Linked DNA regions of Xenopus tropicalis. The main gene of each other region encodes a partner of the protein of the gene in region 2 in a complex. Links are inferred from orthologs where the notes say so. Each region holds a gene or a part of one and is shown on either strand. Other genes may lie near its edges. The genes, in order: gins2, gins3 and mcm4.

Region 1 (5,056 bases), about 11 Mb from region 2:
GCCCCTTCACAAAGCTGTCAGCAGAGAGCCGGAGTTTTGCTATTCTTGTATCCCATGTGTCTTTAACAAGTGTACGGATCTCATCTGCTTTAGGGATATTGTCTGCAGCACTGGAAATATATGTATAGAGAGAGGGGGGAAAAGTAAAAACAAACATGATCAGGTCCAAAATCAGAAAGGCAGGGGTTATTTAAGGGATGTGGGGTATGAAAGACAAATTCTTTCTCCATCTGCTCTTCAGGAATTAGCTAGAACATATGTTACAGATAAAAAACATAAAAGTTAAAAGCTATATCAGCTTGCCTGTGGCAGACTTCCAGGCCCTTTGGAACCTGTCTGGAGGATTTACCCATTCCCCCTCCACCATGGGGCAGATTTATCACAGAAAATTCACCCACTTTCTAATCATTGCTATGGGATTTTTAGAAGCGAACTTTCACACATCGATAAATATGTAATCCAATAGGAATGAACAGAAAGTAAGTGAATTTTTCTGTGTTGAGCTCTAATTCACATTTTGCTAAATCTGCCCCCATGTGTTGTACCTCTCAGTAACTGATACATGAAGAACTTCATCTCCTTTTCTGTTACTGGGTATCAATATCAAGAGTCCTTATACTTTGGTGGCATAGACAACATGTTTTTCATTTTGATTTACTTACTGATTTAACAATAGTTTAGTAAGTTCCATATAATATGGACTTGGCATTGGAGTAAATGTATCCTCTCTGCGTTCTTGATCTTTGATAGCCTCTAGTTTATCTAGATAAAGAAAAAAAAAAAAAGAATAAACAACCCAGACAGAAATCCTAACATGTTTCTTATAAACCATAGGTTCCCATCCTGCCTGGGTGGCTCCACTAGGAGGGCCCAGATTAGTGGCAGGGAGAGAGTCAAAGACAATTTGGAGGTGGTTTGCAGTAAATGCTAATTTGCTGCACTGGTTACTATTGGTTTAATGCCATCACAAGTCATTATCTCTAAGTTTGTTATAACTGTAACCCAATAAGTCAGTGCAATTTCATGCCATAAAAAAAAGCAACAAAGCTTTCAACAGTTAACCTACTTACCGACATCCATCCACTGTGGAGGGACAATGCGACATTTCTGCCTTTGTTTAAGGTTGATGGCCAACCATAGAGGAACCTCTACAGGTAAACCAGGATTAAAGGGACCCAAGTCACCCTGTTCAGGTAAAAGAGATCCGTTAAGCAGCAGTACACTAAACTACTGTTATACTACTGTATAAGAAGAAACAAAAACTAAAAGAGATGAGAGAGTTATAGAGGTATCAGAATATTAGAAAAGGAATGAATATCTGCAACAAAGTTTTTATTTAAATAAGTATAGGGAAGGATTGCCATTATATAGGATAGCTATATAACAACCGCAGACTGACTTAAAGGGACATGTCACCCAGACATAAAAAGCTGAACAATAGTAAACCCAAATTATTTTTTGATCAAAACATCCATACATGATATAAAGATGTTTAAAAATATCAGCTGCCAATCACACATTGCCTGCCCCACCTCAGGCACTGAGTTGGGACTCCTAGAGACTGGACCAAATTTTGTGTTTAACAACTGGAACATATTGCATCCATAAAGTGGGACCATCTTGAATCACCCTGTATAATCTACAGTATACCTACATATAGTAGAACCATATAATCTATAACAAGTATACACGGGCCCATACCCCAGCTCTATATAATCTATAACAAGTATACACGGGCCCATACCCCGGCTCTATATAATCTATAACAAGTATACACGGGCCCATATCCCGACTCTATATAATCTATAACAAGTATACACGGGCCCATATCCCGACTCTATATAATCTATAACAAGTATACACGGGCCCATATCCCGACTCTATATAATCTATAACAAGTATACACGGGCCCATACCCCGGCTCTATATAATCTATAACAAGTATACACGGGCCCATATCCCGACTCTATATAATCTATAACAAGTATACACGGGCCCATATCCCGACTCTATATAATCTATAACAAGTATACACGGGCCCATACCCCGGCTCTATATAATCTATAACAAGTATACACGGGCCCATACCCCGGCTCTATATAATCTATAACAAGTATACAGGGGCCCATACCCCGGCTCTATATAATCTATAACAAGTATACACGGGCCCATACCCCGGCTCTATATAATCTATAACAAGTATACACGGGCCCATACCCCGGCTCTATATAATCTATAACAAGTATACACGGGCCCATACCCCGGCTCTATATAATCTATAACAAGTATACAGGGGCCCATATCCCGGCTCTATATAATCTATAACAAGTATACAGGGGCCCATACCCCGGCTCTATATAATCTATAACAAGTATACACGGGCCCATACCCCGGCTCTATATAATCTATAACAAGTATACACGGGCCCATACCCCGGCTCTACATAATCTATAACAAGTATACAGGGGCCCATACCCCGGCTCTACATAATCTATAACAAGTATACAGGGGCCCATACCCCGGCTCTATATAATCTATAACAAGTATACACGGGCCCATATCCCAGCTCTATATAATCTATAACAAGTATACACGGGCCCATATCCCAGCTCTATATAATCTATAACAAGTATACACGGGCCCATATCCCAGCTCTATATAATCTATAACAAGTATACACGGGCCCATATCCCAGCTCTATATAATCTATAACAAGTATACACGGGCCCATACCCCGGCTCTATATAATCTATAACAAGTATACACGGGCCCATACCCCGGCTCTATATAATCTATAACAAGTATACACGGGCCCATACCCCAGCTCTATATAATCTATAACAAGTATACAGGGGCCCATACCCCGGCTCTATATAATCTATAACAAGTATACAGGGGCCCATACCCCAGCTCTATATAATCTATAACAAGTATACAGGGGCCCATATACTTCTATCTCACTATATAATTTAAGACTAACTAGCACCATGTTTCTCTTTCGTTACTAAACTGCTTATTACAAAGCATGGAAGCCTGACAAGTTCGCTTTTGCTCACCCCAATAAGATAGACCTTGTCCAGACTAAAGTTGGGAATGACAGTCACTTGCTCCTTTTCAGCCAAGAACTCGACCTCGGAGGCATCCATGACTGAATCTCCCGCTATCAGCGATAGGAAGGGGCGGGGCTTCTGCCGGAGCAGAGGAAATCTCTACGCACAGAAGCCCCGCCCATGGGCGGAATGTTGAGGGCTGGCGGTGTGGGGTTGCCTAGAAACGGGACGCTGTAACCATAGTGGGTGCCGCAGGTGTAGAACAGAAATCTGGGGGCGCCTGGGTGTAGTTGCGGCCGGTACCATACAGGATGCCTCCCAAAAAGAAAGGTAAGCGAGGGCCCAGCGCCAAGACAAAGGAGAAAGAGACTGTAAGGGTCGCATCGGAGGGCGTTACAGAGCAAACGAAAGATTTTTATACAGTGCAGATCCGAGATCTGGAGAAACGGCTGGAACGGTGGGTTCTATTTCTTACCCAAATGTGTAACTCATGGGATGGGTCTGGTGCTACATTAAAAACCCAGTGCAAGGTGATTAGCGTGAGGGGACAAGGGTTTAAGGCAGTGGCTCCCAACCTTCCTAATGCCCCGCACTTTAATACAGTTCCTCATGTTGTGGTGACCCCCCAACCATAAAATCATTCCTAAAACCATCGGAAATATGTTTTCTGATGGTCTTGGGCCGGAACTAGGGGTAGGTAGAGTAGGTGCCTGCCTAGGGCGCAATCACTGGGGGGCGCACATTAAAGGGGAAATCATTTTTTTGTAGTAGTATTTTATTAGTTCTCTTTGACTGTAATAGAATCACCGTCCCAACCCCCCTCTGGCATGTTGTATTTCCTCTTCGTTTGGGACCCAGGAGCAGGTCCGGCTGGGCCGCCGGGACACCGGGAGAAATCACGGTGGGCCCCGGCGGCCCAGACCTGTCCCTTACCTGTGCTCCCCCTGCCCGACTGCTCCTCCCCAGCTAGTAGCAGGTTACAGTAGTCTAGTCAGGATAGGGTGAGAGCATGCATGGGCATCTTAGCTGTTACTTGTGTGAGAAAGGGACAGATTTTGGTAATATTGTATAAGAAAAAGTGACAGGTTTTGACAGTTGTGTTAATATGGACAGAAAAGAAGAGGAAGAGTTAAAAACTATCCCCAAACTGAGTTGACAGGGTTAATGAGAGTGCCATCAGTAGATATAGTAAAGGGGGGAGTAGTACCAGACTTAGATGACAAGATACGTTTTCATTAGGTTCAGTTGCATCCATGTTGGTTAATCAGACAAGAGAATCGTCTGAGTGGGTCAACAATGATCCTGAATTCTGGGAAAATATGTTGCATTGTTCAAAAAACATGGTGATTGTGCTGTAACCTTAACTTTGTTTACTGCACCTCGGTAAGTGAATTTGTCTTGTGTGTGTGTACTCTTCTAGGTTGTTGTGTAGAATTTCGTGGTGCTATACAATGTATTTATCATATTCTTAGGTACCAGAGTAAATGGGATGAAATCTGTGCAAAGGAGCAATTGAAGGAGGCTCAATATGAGCAGTTGTCTAATGACAAAAAGGAGATTGTCTCTTTCCTAAAACGTACCCTAAACCAACGCATGGATGAAATTGCTGACCTGAATGACCAGCTCTTGGGGCTCCAGCAGGCCAAGGATGCAGAAAAGGATGCGTATGAGTCCCAGCTGACTCAGGTGCGACATGAATTGCAAGACACCAAGGAGCGCCTCACCTCAGAGAATATGCTTCTAGGTAACAGTACACTTACTTTGATCCACATTATCCTGTACCTTATCTGTTTGTATCTGTTTGTCCCTTGCAGCCCATCGCCAAGCGAGCGGATCTTCACCTGATATCCCCACCTACGGGTGGGCGATATCGGGTAGCAAGTAGCTAAAATAAAAAATAATCCGATCCTTTGGCCCTGGGGCCAAACGATCGAATTACATTTGCGGCCATGGGGCAGTCAGTTCGGGGACCGCATCAACGAGCTGATGCGGTCCCCGATCCGACT
Region 2 (5,064 bases):
GCCATAATAATGAGGTCCCATCTTGTGCAGGTCCACGACATTGGCATCAGCACTGAAAACAGTTCGCCAGCCTTCTCGGTAAATCTTTGGTAGCTCTACCGAAAGTACACGCCGTTTGTTGTCATAAAGACCTTTCGCCAGCCATAATGGAAGTTCCATTTTGCTACCCTAACAAAAAAGGAATTATTACAGTAATTAAGTTCAGTGGTCATTATGTATAACACCTGCTTGGATACAAAAGATGAAAACTGGTATTTTAAGCAAGGGAGGCTTAATATTTCATTATGTAGTACTGAATAAGGCAATTACATGGTAGGGTACACACTTCAAGCTTCAAGAGAAAATTAAAAACCAATTTTGCACACACTGAAGGAAAAATGTCTGCATTTTAGTGAAAAGAGACACGTTGCATTACACGGTTTGTACAAAGTATGCATAAGCTGACGCGCCCGTCAAGGCAGTGTCCTTGCGTCAGTCCTAACCTAGCGAAAAAGAGAGTATATTTTCTTTGGTGGAAGAAAGACCATACCTGCTTTTCTCTTTATATGGCATGACCTATTCCAAAGAAACCATTCCGCAATTAAGCTTATAAACACCTTCTTGCAAAAAAAAAAAAAACTGCAAGGCTATCCTTAAAGGGGCGAGGTTGGGAGAGCAAGCATTCAATTAGGGAATAGCCACTTCCCCTTACCACACAAATATATACAAAAAAATACAGCTCATCCCATGAATCAATCCAAACTAATTGGGTGCACACAGGTGAGTGGCTTGTATTATATACTATACACATTACCCAGGCACTCCATTATATAGCTTTGGTTTAGTTTTTAATTTTCTCTTGAAGCTATATAATGGAGTGCTGGAGTAATGTATATAGTATATAATATAAGCCAAGCCACTCACCTATGTGCCCCCAATTGGTTTTGATTGATTCATGGGATGAGTTGCATTTTTATAATATATATATATATATATATACATACATATACACATAAAGATAATTAGATAGATAGAGGTGCCATTTGCAATACTTTACTAGTACCAAAATGTTTCCATTACTTCATTACTTCAGATCAAATATTCTAATGATGTTCTTGAATGTGATTCACTTGTAAATGACAATTTTTTACACCAATGTCAAATCTAAATATACTATTTAACAGACTTTTCCTCATATCCTTCTGGTCTATGTACAGCCTGTTATGCACAACTGTGCTGGACCAATCTGTTCTCATTTATAAAACAACAACATTTTTAATTAACGTATAATGATATGTTGCTTTCAATTACATTTTCTTTGACATTTTTCCCTGTCCATTACGGAAATGGCAAACAAGGAGTTTTGTTACCCGTGGGTAACAATGTGGGGATCATGGCATGTAAATCACTTGAAAAGTTCAGGCATAAAAAAAAGCTGTATCACCGCATATAAACTATTTCAAGTGAAGGGAAAGGTAATTTCAGCAGATTTGTCATTTGTATGTAGCACAGATTCCCCACAGGCAACAAACCTTGTGTGCCAGTGCCCCTAAGGGGAAAAATAAGCATACATTAACTGGGTGCAAGCTATCCTTTTCGTTCTTTCTTTGCACAGCTTGCACTTATGCAGTAGAGTGAAAAGCTAAACTTTAACAAAAAAATGTTGCTTTTTCACTGTACTGCACATGTATTGGTCCCAGGATCGAGAAGAAAGAAGACAGGAGGAAGAGGATCGCTCGCAGTTACCCTGGCCCAGTTCTGCTTACAGGATTACTGGCCTGGGGTATCAGATAGTGATTACAGTCACTGGGGGTGCCTAGTATTTTGGCAACTCCCAGTAATTGTACCTTTACTACATCATAACCCCTTCTGGCTTCTTGTACTGGGTGCCCCAGACCAATTAGAAATTACCCAAATGTCCAATAGTTCTTAAGCCAAGAAACACTATTTAGAGCATTTTTTGGCTACAGAGTACCTTTACTGACACTGTCATGTCTACGGGAGGCAATAATTTGAAGTTATTTTTAGCCAGACAAAAAGTGCACCATGTACCAACAGCACTAAGACTGATGGCAAACCAGTTTACCCAGTCAGTGGAGAAACACTTGTCCATGCCACCTGCCTGTCACAGAACGTACAGGAGGATTTCAACCCATGGCCCAAGGTAAACCATTCTAAAACTGCATGCACTCAGTTGGAACACTCACTTCTCAGTTCTTGTGTTTTTCTGGAAGCACGGTCTCTTGTCTCCGCTTTAGCACAATAATTCCCCCCAGGCACACAGCATCTGTACTTAGTTTGCCGAAATGTGAGAATGAACTTTATTGGCCTACATAGAGTCCTAACCCAACTGAACACCTGAGGTTAACTGCAGGACAGTCTGTAACCCGGGGCTCCCCAACCTGTTTTTACCCATGAGCCACAGTCAAATGTAGTAACAGCTGGGGAGCATCCCTGGGGTACCGAATAAGAGCTGTGATTGGCTATTTGGTAGCCCCAATGTAGATTGGTAGCCTACAGGAGACTCTTCTGGCAGTAAACCTGGTTTTTGTGCAACCAAATCTTGCTTCCAATTTAAAAAAAGCACCTGCTTAAGGCCACTGGGAGCAACATCCAAGGGGTTGGCGAGTGACATGTTGCTCATGAGCCTCTGGCTGGGGATCACTGCTGTAAGCCATGCCTGTTTGCCCAGCATCAGTGCCCAAGCTCATTAATGCTGTTGTGGCTACACAGAACTTGACTATAATAGAACTGCTAAAGTAAACTCATTTTCAAAGGCAACACATTAAAACGCCCAGTGTTAATCCAATGGAATGAAAGGTAAATTTGCAGGAGCACAATGATGGATTGCCCATATGAATCCATGACCACCCAGAAAAGCTACATTTATTATTGCATCACCCAAAGTCACCTCAGGGATGCTGTCGCTGTCACCACCTTTCTCTAGGAAGCCGAGCCGAGGGAAGCCGCTCTCTACACGGCAAGGTAATTTTTCCTGTGACATTAACAAATCTTCTATGGAAAGGAAATTCTCCTCCCTGCCCAAGCCGGGCTCAACTGGCATGTAGGGTTCCCACATTATGAATGATATCCTCTTCTACCAATCTGCAAAGGGAACCAGCTAGCGAAAATGGCTGCAGCACCACAAATTGAATGAATCTCCCGCGTTGCTGCGGTCCTGCCCACTACCGCGTCTCAAGCCTCGTTTTCATAGTGTCATGTATTCTGCTGTAGTCTGAACTATCGTGAAATCTTGTGGTTGTTTGGTTTTGATTCAATTAGTGTTTGTTTTCGGCTTGGTAATCTGATTAATAACATCATTGTTTAAGTTGTGTAATACAATATTATTTTAGCCTTATAATATTCCTTAGTTTGGAGGAATGAGTTTGCAATTGCAGTCGTCTGAGCCTTGCTAGTACTACGATGATGCAGCAGTGAGTGTTAAGGAGTGATCATTTCCTTAACCAGGACTGCGTTTGAGATCATAATTCTATCTCCTGTGGAGCTGAGAGACACAGCTTTAATTAGGGTTGCTACCGTTTATGGAAAAACATACAGGCTTTCCTATATAACAATGGCTCAAAGCCACATTTTTACCTGCTAGTCCGTATAATAGAGGTTGTCAGACTTTTTCAGTTTAAGCCCGAGTTGGAGGTTCAACCTTTTTCTCTGCATAGCCCCGATAATATCTTAGACAGCAAATACGTTGTTACCTTGAATCGGCAAAATAAACGTTCACCCCATGCCTCATCTTAATTGGCCTTCAGGGTCTGCCCACCACTGCCTCAAGCCACCCCAGAAGGGCCAGCTGCACAATTGTTGAAACCTTTGGTATACATGAATCTTCACAAATGATAAGGACATTGTCACGATCACGCCACTCTTAGACGCACGTGACACTGGGATGAGGAAACGGGGTTACACTCAGTAAGGTTACCTAAGGTTAGACTAACATCAGACACCCCCAAACACACCACCGCCCCAAATAAATATTCAGTGCTCTCTACAACAGGTACTATTTCCCAATACACAACTGTATCACACACTCTCACTGTAGTTAGGGTTAGTGTCTACTAATTCAACAAGCACTCTAGCAGCCAAAAGGTTAAATTACAGTCAAACATACTCTCCTGCTAGCAGTCAACTAGTTAATTAGCCTATACACAGACAACTTTCCTTCTACACACAGACAAGCTGTTAATACAGTTAGCCCCAAGCGTTCATACAAGCTACGTGAAATCTTTTTAGAGCAACCGGACAAAACTTATTAAATTTTATATTTAATATTACAAGAGTAAACAGTACATATTAAAAGATATTACAAAAAGAGACATACACGTAAAATTGCAAACAGTAAATAAAATAAAAGGGAATAAAACACAGAAACCCTATTTACTTTACCAAGTTAGGAATTTCCTTTGTGTCCTCCTGAGGCAAGAGTTTGGAAACCTGAGCCCACACCCCAACAGAATTGGGACCTCAGGTATGAGCTGTTAGTAACTGGGTCTTTTGCCCTTTTATCCCCTGCTTGGACCCTTCCTCATTACCGCATGCATGAGGGGGGAGTGCCCAGGAACTTATCACTTATGACCTCCTGTAGAGGACTGCAATTCTCAGGCCAGTTTCTTGTCATATAATATTGGCACTTGACAGTATCCAATATTATTATGAAAATATGGGCTTGCTTTAACCCATATGTGGGTGATCAGAAGGATACCAAACATGAAAACTATCCCCCCTAACTGGTGGGTATTGGCTGGCCTTGTTTGGTATTTTTAGAAAGCATGTGACCTTATAACCAATATGTGATTTATGAGGATGTGAACCCTAAAGCAAAGGAGATATGGATCCCTTTTTATAATCCATATTTTCTCTTAGCTGTTCCCCCAGCATTTCTTATGTCCACAATTCACTTTCTTTGATCAATAGATCAAAGAAACCAATTGCCCCAACTTCACTGCCCAAATGGTCTGGCTCCGAACTGTCTTCTAACCCAGATAAGGGTATCACCTTCCCACAGTCCCTTGTTGCAGGTTTAATTAAGGGTCTCTGTGTGGACCCAAGGCCAAATGTTGCCAGGTTTAA
Region 3 (4,280 bases), on a different chromosome or scaffold from region 2:
TTTTGTTAAAAAAAAAAAAAAAAAACCTCCTCAAGTATCATTTGAGGTCAAAGTTACTCTGCTGCCTATAAGACATTAATACAGTCTCACACAGCCATAGAACTGAAATACTGCCGGTATAATTTAACTTTTCTTATTCATAGCAATTAATTACACAAGGATTCTCACACACTGTCTTGGGTTCATATATTACAAAACCTCCTTTTTCAAGTGGTGGAACAGCCGCCTCTACCCACTGCATGCAAGTTAAGCAACTTATATAAAAAAACGCTCATGTCATGTGCCTATGTCTTTAGAAGGTGATATTACAAGTTAATATAAAATGCTCAAGAGTATTATGGTTTTATTGACCGCCACCTGATTGTGTGCACCAAAATTATCTCCTAATTTCCCAACCACAAAGACAGAAGTTATACCTTTTTAATATCTTCATGCTCATATATACTTGGTGCAAGAGCTGAAGCAAGCCTCTCATAGATGTCTGGTTTTGCTGCAAGTTCTTTTAACATTGCAACCCTTTCTTCAGTGAACATCTTCTGTTCTGTGTCCTCATCAATACCATGCAACCGCTTTGCATCAGTTTTTCGGTAATGAATAACATCAATGTGAGTTTTGTAAACAGACTTTACATTTCGAACTCTAGGGTTAACTCGAATTGGGACAGCTCTGTAAATACCTGGAGAAATAAAACATTGAAGTTGCTAAATAATTAGTTATTTCCACTGTGACCAAGCAGTTTAGTGCTGTTAAAACAAACTGCTTGCTAGTTAGTACTCAACACAAATGTGATTATTTTGCTTTAGTAGAACATCTTTTTCTTCTGCTTTCTAGGTTGCCCAGCATAACATGAAGAAAGCCAAAAATATGAAGTCTATGTAACAAGTCCTTGATAGTCAGCACCATAAAATCAAGAGCAATTAAAAGTTTATCAAGAAGCCTTGTGGCAAACTAGCAAGTTTGAATATGAATGGTGTTTTCCTCCCTAAGCAATTTACAGATCAGAGCGATATAGAACCGTGGGATCTCCACCCATTGCATAATGAATAAAGATGCAATAATAATTTTAAGCAACTTTGTTATTTACATTATAAATTGTCAATGTTTTTAAAAAGGCATCAGCAATTGAAAGCAGTTCTCTCTTTTCCTTTCTTTTTCCAGTTCTGAATCTTAAAGGGAAAGGAAAGATTAGTATAGAGTTAACCACTATTTAAAGCCACACCTATAGTGATGCCATCTGTCCTTTCTATTTTCCACTATTTTAAGCTCCTTTTCTTTGCAATCCCCACATTGTAGCCAAAACTGCTCACTTCATCTAGAAAAATGCAACAAATCATTTAAGGCAAGTAACCTGCCAGGCATGTGAATTCACAGATTACCCACAATTTATTTTGATCATCATGGGTGACCTGCAATATTGGCCAGCAGGGAAGTCCCCCCAGAAAAAAAAAAAAAAAAAGTAGAAACTGCCTAGCATGACATCAGAGTTACCACTTATTTGGTGCACTAGATGTTACTGGAACTTAAATAAGAGTGGATGAAATAAGCTTCTTAAAATAAGATGTAAAGAAATTATAACATTTGAATATGTGGCACTATTAAGACTGTTGCAAAATATGTTCTGCAGTACAAATGAACATACCTGTGACATTCACTCTATCACCAGGCTGTACCTTATCCACCAAGTCATTATGACCATAGAGAATAGTTGTATGAGGGGTCTGACCAGCAGGCATATCTTCTGGAGACTCTTGCAGTTTAATCTAGGAGTATAGTATAATGAGAATCTACTGCATAAGAAATTATTTTCAAAACATTGTGGCACATCCATAGAAGATATGCAAAATGCATATATTCCATCTTCACAAAATATGTGGTTAGCAAATGTTATGAGATAAAAACTTACCATTTGCTTGTCTGAGAACATAGAGCGATTGTGAATAAGAGCCATGCTGTGTGTGGTGTTGCAGTGTTTGCAGACTGATGGCTCTGAAATGCGACCACGATCAATCTCCACTCTAGTAGTAAAGGCACACACTTGACATTTAAAAAATGCTTCCTGCATCTCTGGGATGATTTGAGAAGTTCTGATAACCATGCCACTAATTGTGATAAGCTGATCAATATCTAGGGTGAAAAAAAAAAAGTGTCATTAGCCTAACTTATGTTTATAAAAGCAACCTGACAACCATGAAAATAAAGTCCAATTTCAGATGCTGTTCGTTTCTCACTCAATTGATAGGAAGCAACAGTGGAACACTAAAACTAGTCTAAGACTAGACATGACTCAACAACATTGAACATATTTTATTACCTTCTGGATTTAAGCTTCTCATATTTCTAGTTTTCAATGCATTATAGGGTCTAACTTGAATCTGGTGCTCTAAAATGGAGTCAGGGTACCGCTCAAAGAAAATCTCATTAGCAGCCATATCAAATGTTGGAATAACTTCCTAAGGGGGAAAAAAAAAAAAAAAACAAACAAATTAAGAGCTTTTTCTGATTTTTTTTTTTTTTTTTTTACATATATTAACTTCACAACAGGCTGAAAATCATGGCTTCTAAAAACATATGTAATTATTAATTTTCCTGAAAGAACAGTAACATAAATTACCTGTGGGTAGCAAACCAGCTGCCTGTAAAGATCCTGATCAAAGCTTCTGAGATGGTCACAGTCAACATTGAGAAATGGCTCACCTACTACATTTATCTAAAGGGACAGAAAATAAAATTTAGGATTTCTTAGGTTTACTGGAAGAAAAATACTACATTTTTTTTTTTTTTTAAAAACACACATACCTCTTCAAGTCGCTGCATATATATAGGCTCATTCAGATCCAGTCCTACATTTTCCTCTTCTTTAGCTAAAGGATCAATGAATCGCTGAACAAAACGCTAAATCATAGGAAGAGATACTTAAAGGTTAGAAAACGGCACTGAAATTACAACTCAAAATTCTAATTGATCCAATTTAAAAAAAAAATTAAAAACATGAAAATGTAAGGACTGGCCAGTTGTTTACCTGAAACTTTTCTTTGCAAGTGGCAACATTGACATCAGTTCCCCAGATCACCAGCTTCTGTCCCAAAGATTGCTCACTCGTAACCAGCTCCTCTGCAGCAGGCTTGAAAAAGCATAATTAGAATTATTATGTTGACCAAATACTCATTTTGTAAACAACCTGTTATGGAGCTTAGGATACTTACTTGGTCTGAATGTAAATCCACCTGCTTAACTTTGCGTGCTGATCCCAAGTCAGGTCTCTGTCGAGCAGGAGTCCCTCGGATACCACTTCTAGGGGTACCCTCAACTCTTGAGCTAGGGGTGCCATAAGTGAGAGGTGAGCTGAGATCAAGCTCACTTTGAAGGGCTGTAAGCAAAATACATTTGGAAAAGTTAGAAATCATATCTTTAATGGGTTTACACTTTTTACAATTCTTAGTAAAACACCTTAGTTACTCATGTGAGCTCTCTACTAAATCTTATTCAACAAATCTAGTGAAACAGGGATCAACCATAGCCATACAATAAAATAAATGATAATACTAGAATTGTGGTTACTTTTGAAGGCGGTACTTTTCATAGGAGTAGTAGCACATAGCCTTTTTGTACCCAATGAAGTCTTAGTTAGTATATAATTATAAACTGGTAAAAACCAGCAGCAGAAAACAGGCATTTTCTAACAAAATATCTAAAAATGGTTCAGTATTTTCTAATCAACAGACTAAGTGATTGTCATTAGTAAATACTTTGAGGGCATTTTCAATTCATAGTATCACTGGCCCTTTAATGTCATTAGGGCACATCCAGTAGCAGTTTTTGGAATTTAGTAAAAAAAAAAAAAAAAAAACACTTTTACTAATTTTTTTTTTTTAATTATTATAGGGACACCAAGTATACAAAAACTCAGATTTGGGGAGCAAGAAACCCCCCCCCACAAATAAATACAATGTTGTTATAATGGGAACCTGCATGCTATGGTAATTGAGGAAAAATGTGTTCAGCATACCAGAATGCCTTGATGGTGCAGGGCTAGAAAACATAAGCTCTTGCCCGCTGGGGCTCTGAAGGTCCCCTGAAGGTGAGGTTGGCATGGGCAGAAGTTCGCCAATAGATGTGGAATCTTCTGTCCGACGTCTCTGCGATGGAGGAGACTGCACTTCCTCTCCATGAGCTGCAAAACATTGGGAACACAGGGAACAGTCACATAAATATAATATTGTATTGTCATTGTATGTATTATCAAAAAAAAAAAAAAAAAAAAAAAAAAAAAAGGGATTTCC

What was found.
Region 1: the proteins of gins3 (region 2) and gins2 are in contact, whole or in part, in a crystal structure (PDB 2E9X), measured with the Homo sapiens proteins. The link is inferred for Xenopus tropicalis from reciprocal best matches to the Homo sapiens genes GINS3 and GINS2. Residues at the interface, in NP_073607.2 of Homo sapiens: Leu13, Gly14, Tyr117, Ser121, Leu124, Asn131, Ala132, Ser135, Gln136, Leu138, Leu139, Gln140, Phe142, Ile143, Phe146, Arg147, Ile149, Met150, Asp151, Ser153, Gln154, Ala156, Met171, Gly174, Leu175, Thr178, Gly179, Gly182, Leu183, Asp185; in NP_057179.1 of Homo sapiens: Asp2, Ala3, Ala4, Glu7, Met93, Glu94, Lys97, Asn101, Trp121, Ile125, Arg129, Val130, Ala132, Asp133, Val136, Arg137, Gln139, Met151, Thr155, Ser156, Thr158, Phe159, Leu160, Gln162, Ala163, His166, Met167, Lys169, Leu170, Arg171.
Region 3: gins3 (region 2) and mcm4 share a complex: the UniProt entries of both Homo sapiens proteins name them as parts of the CMG helicase complex. The link is inferred for Xenopus tropicalis from reciprocal best matches to the Homo sapiens genes GINS3 and MCM4.

The regions. Positions count from the first base shown.
Region 1 is NC_030680.2:64,843,629-64,848,684, reverse strand, and holds the start of gins2 (DNA replication complex GINS protein PSF2), read right to left. Parts: upstream 3,148-5,056; 5' UTR 3,147-3,147; coding exon 3,057-3,146; intron 1,186-3,056; coding exon 1,071-1,185; intron 763-1,070; coding exon 663-762; intron 111-662; coding exon 1-110. Other genes in the region: cfap157 (cilia- and flagella-associated protein 157), read left to right, coding at 3,362-3,507, 4,523-4,794. UniProt on the Homo sapiens protein: Required for correct functioning of the GINS complex, a complex that plays an essential role in the initiation of DNA replication, and progression of DNA replication forks.
Region 2 is NC_030680.2:75,817,425-75,822,488, reverse strand, and holds the start of gins3 (DNA replication complex GINS protein PSF3), read right to left. Parts: upstream 3,063-5,064; 5' UTR 3,059-3,062; coding exon 2,891-3,058; intron 169-2,890; coding exon 1-168. UniProt on the Homo sapiens protein: Required for correct functioning of the GINS complex, a complex that plays an essential role in the initiation of DNA replication, and progression of DNA replication forks.
Region 3 is NC_030682.2:113,241,650-113,245,929, reverse strand, and holds part of mcm4 (DNA replication licensing factor mcm4), read right to left. Parts: intron 4,172-4,280; coding exon 4,007-4,171; intron 3,368-4,006; coding exon 3,204-3,367; intron 3,122-3,203; coding exon 3,020-3,121; intron 2,893-3,019; coding exon 2,797-2,892; intron 2,708-2,796; coding exon 2,612-2,707; intron 2,451-2,611; coding exon 2,312-2,450; intron 2,125-2,311; coding exon 1,904-2,124; intron 1,761-1,903; coding exon 1,640-1,760; intron 677-1,639; coding exon 417-676; intron 1-416. UniProt on the Homo sapiens protein: Acts as a component of the MCM2-7 complex (MCM complex) which is the replicative helicase essential for 'once per cell cycle' DNA replication initiation and elongation in eukaryotic cells.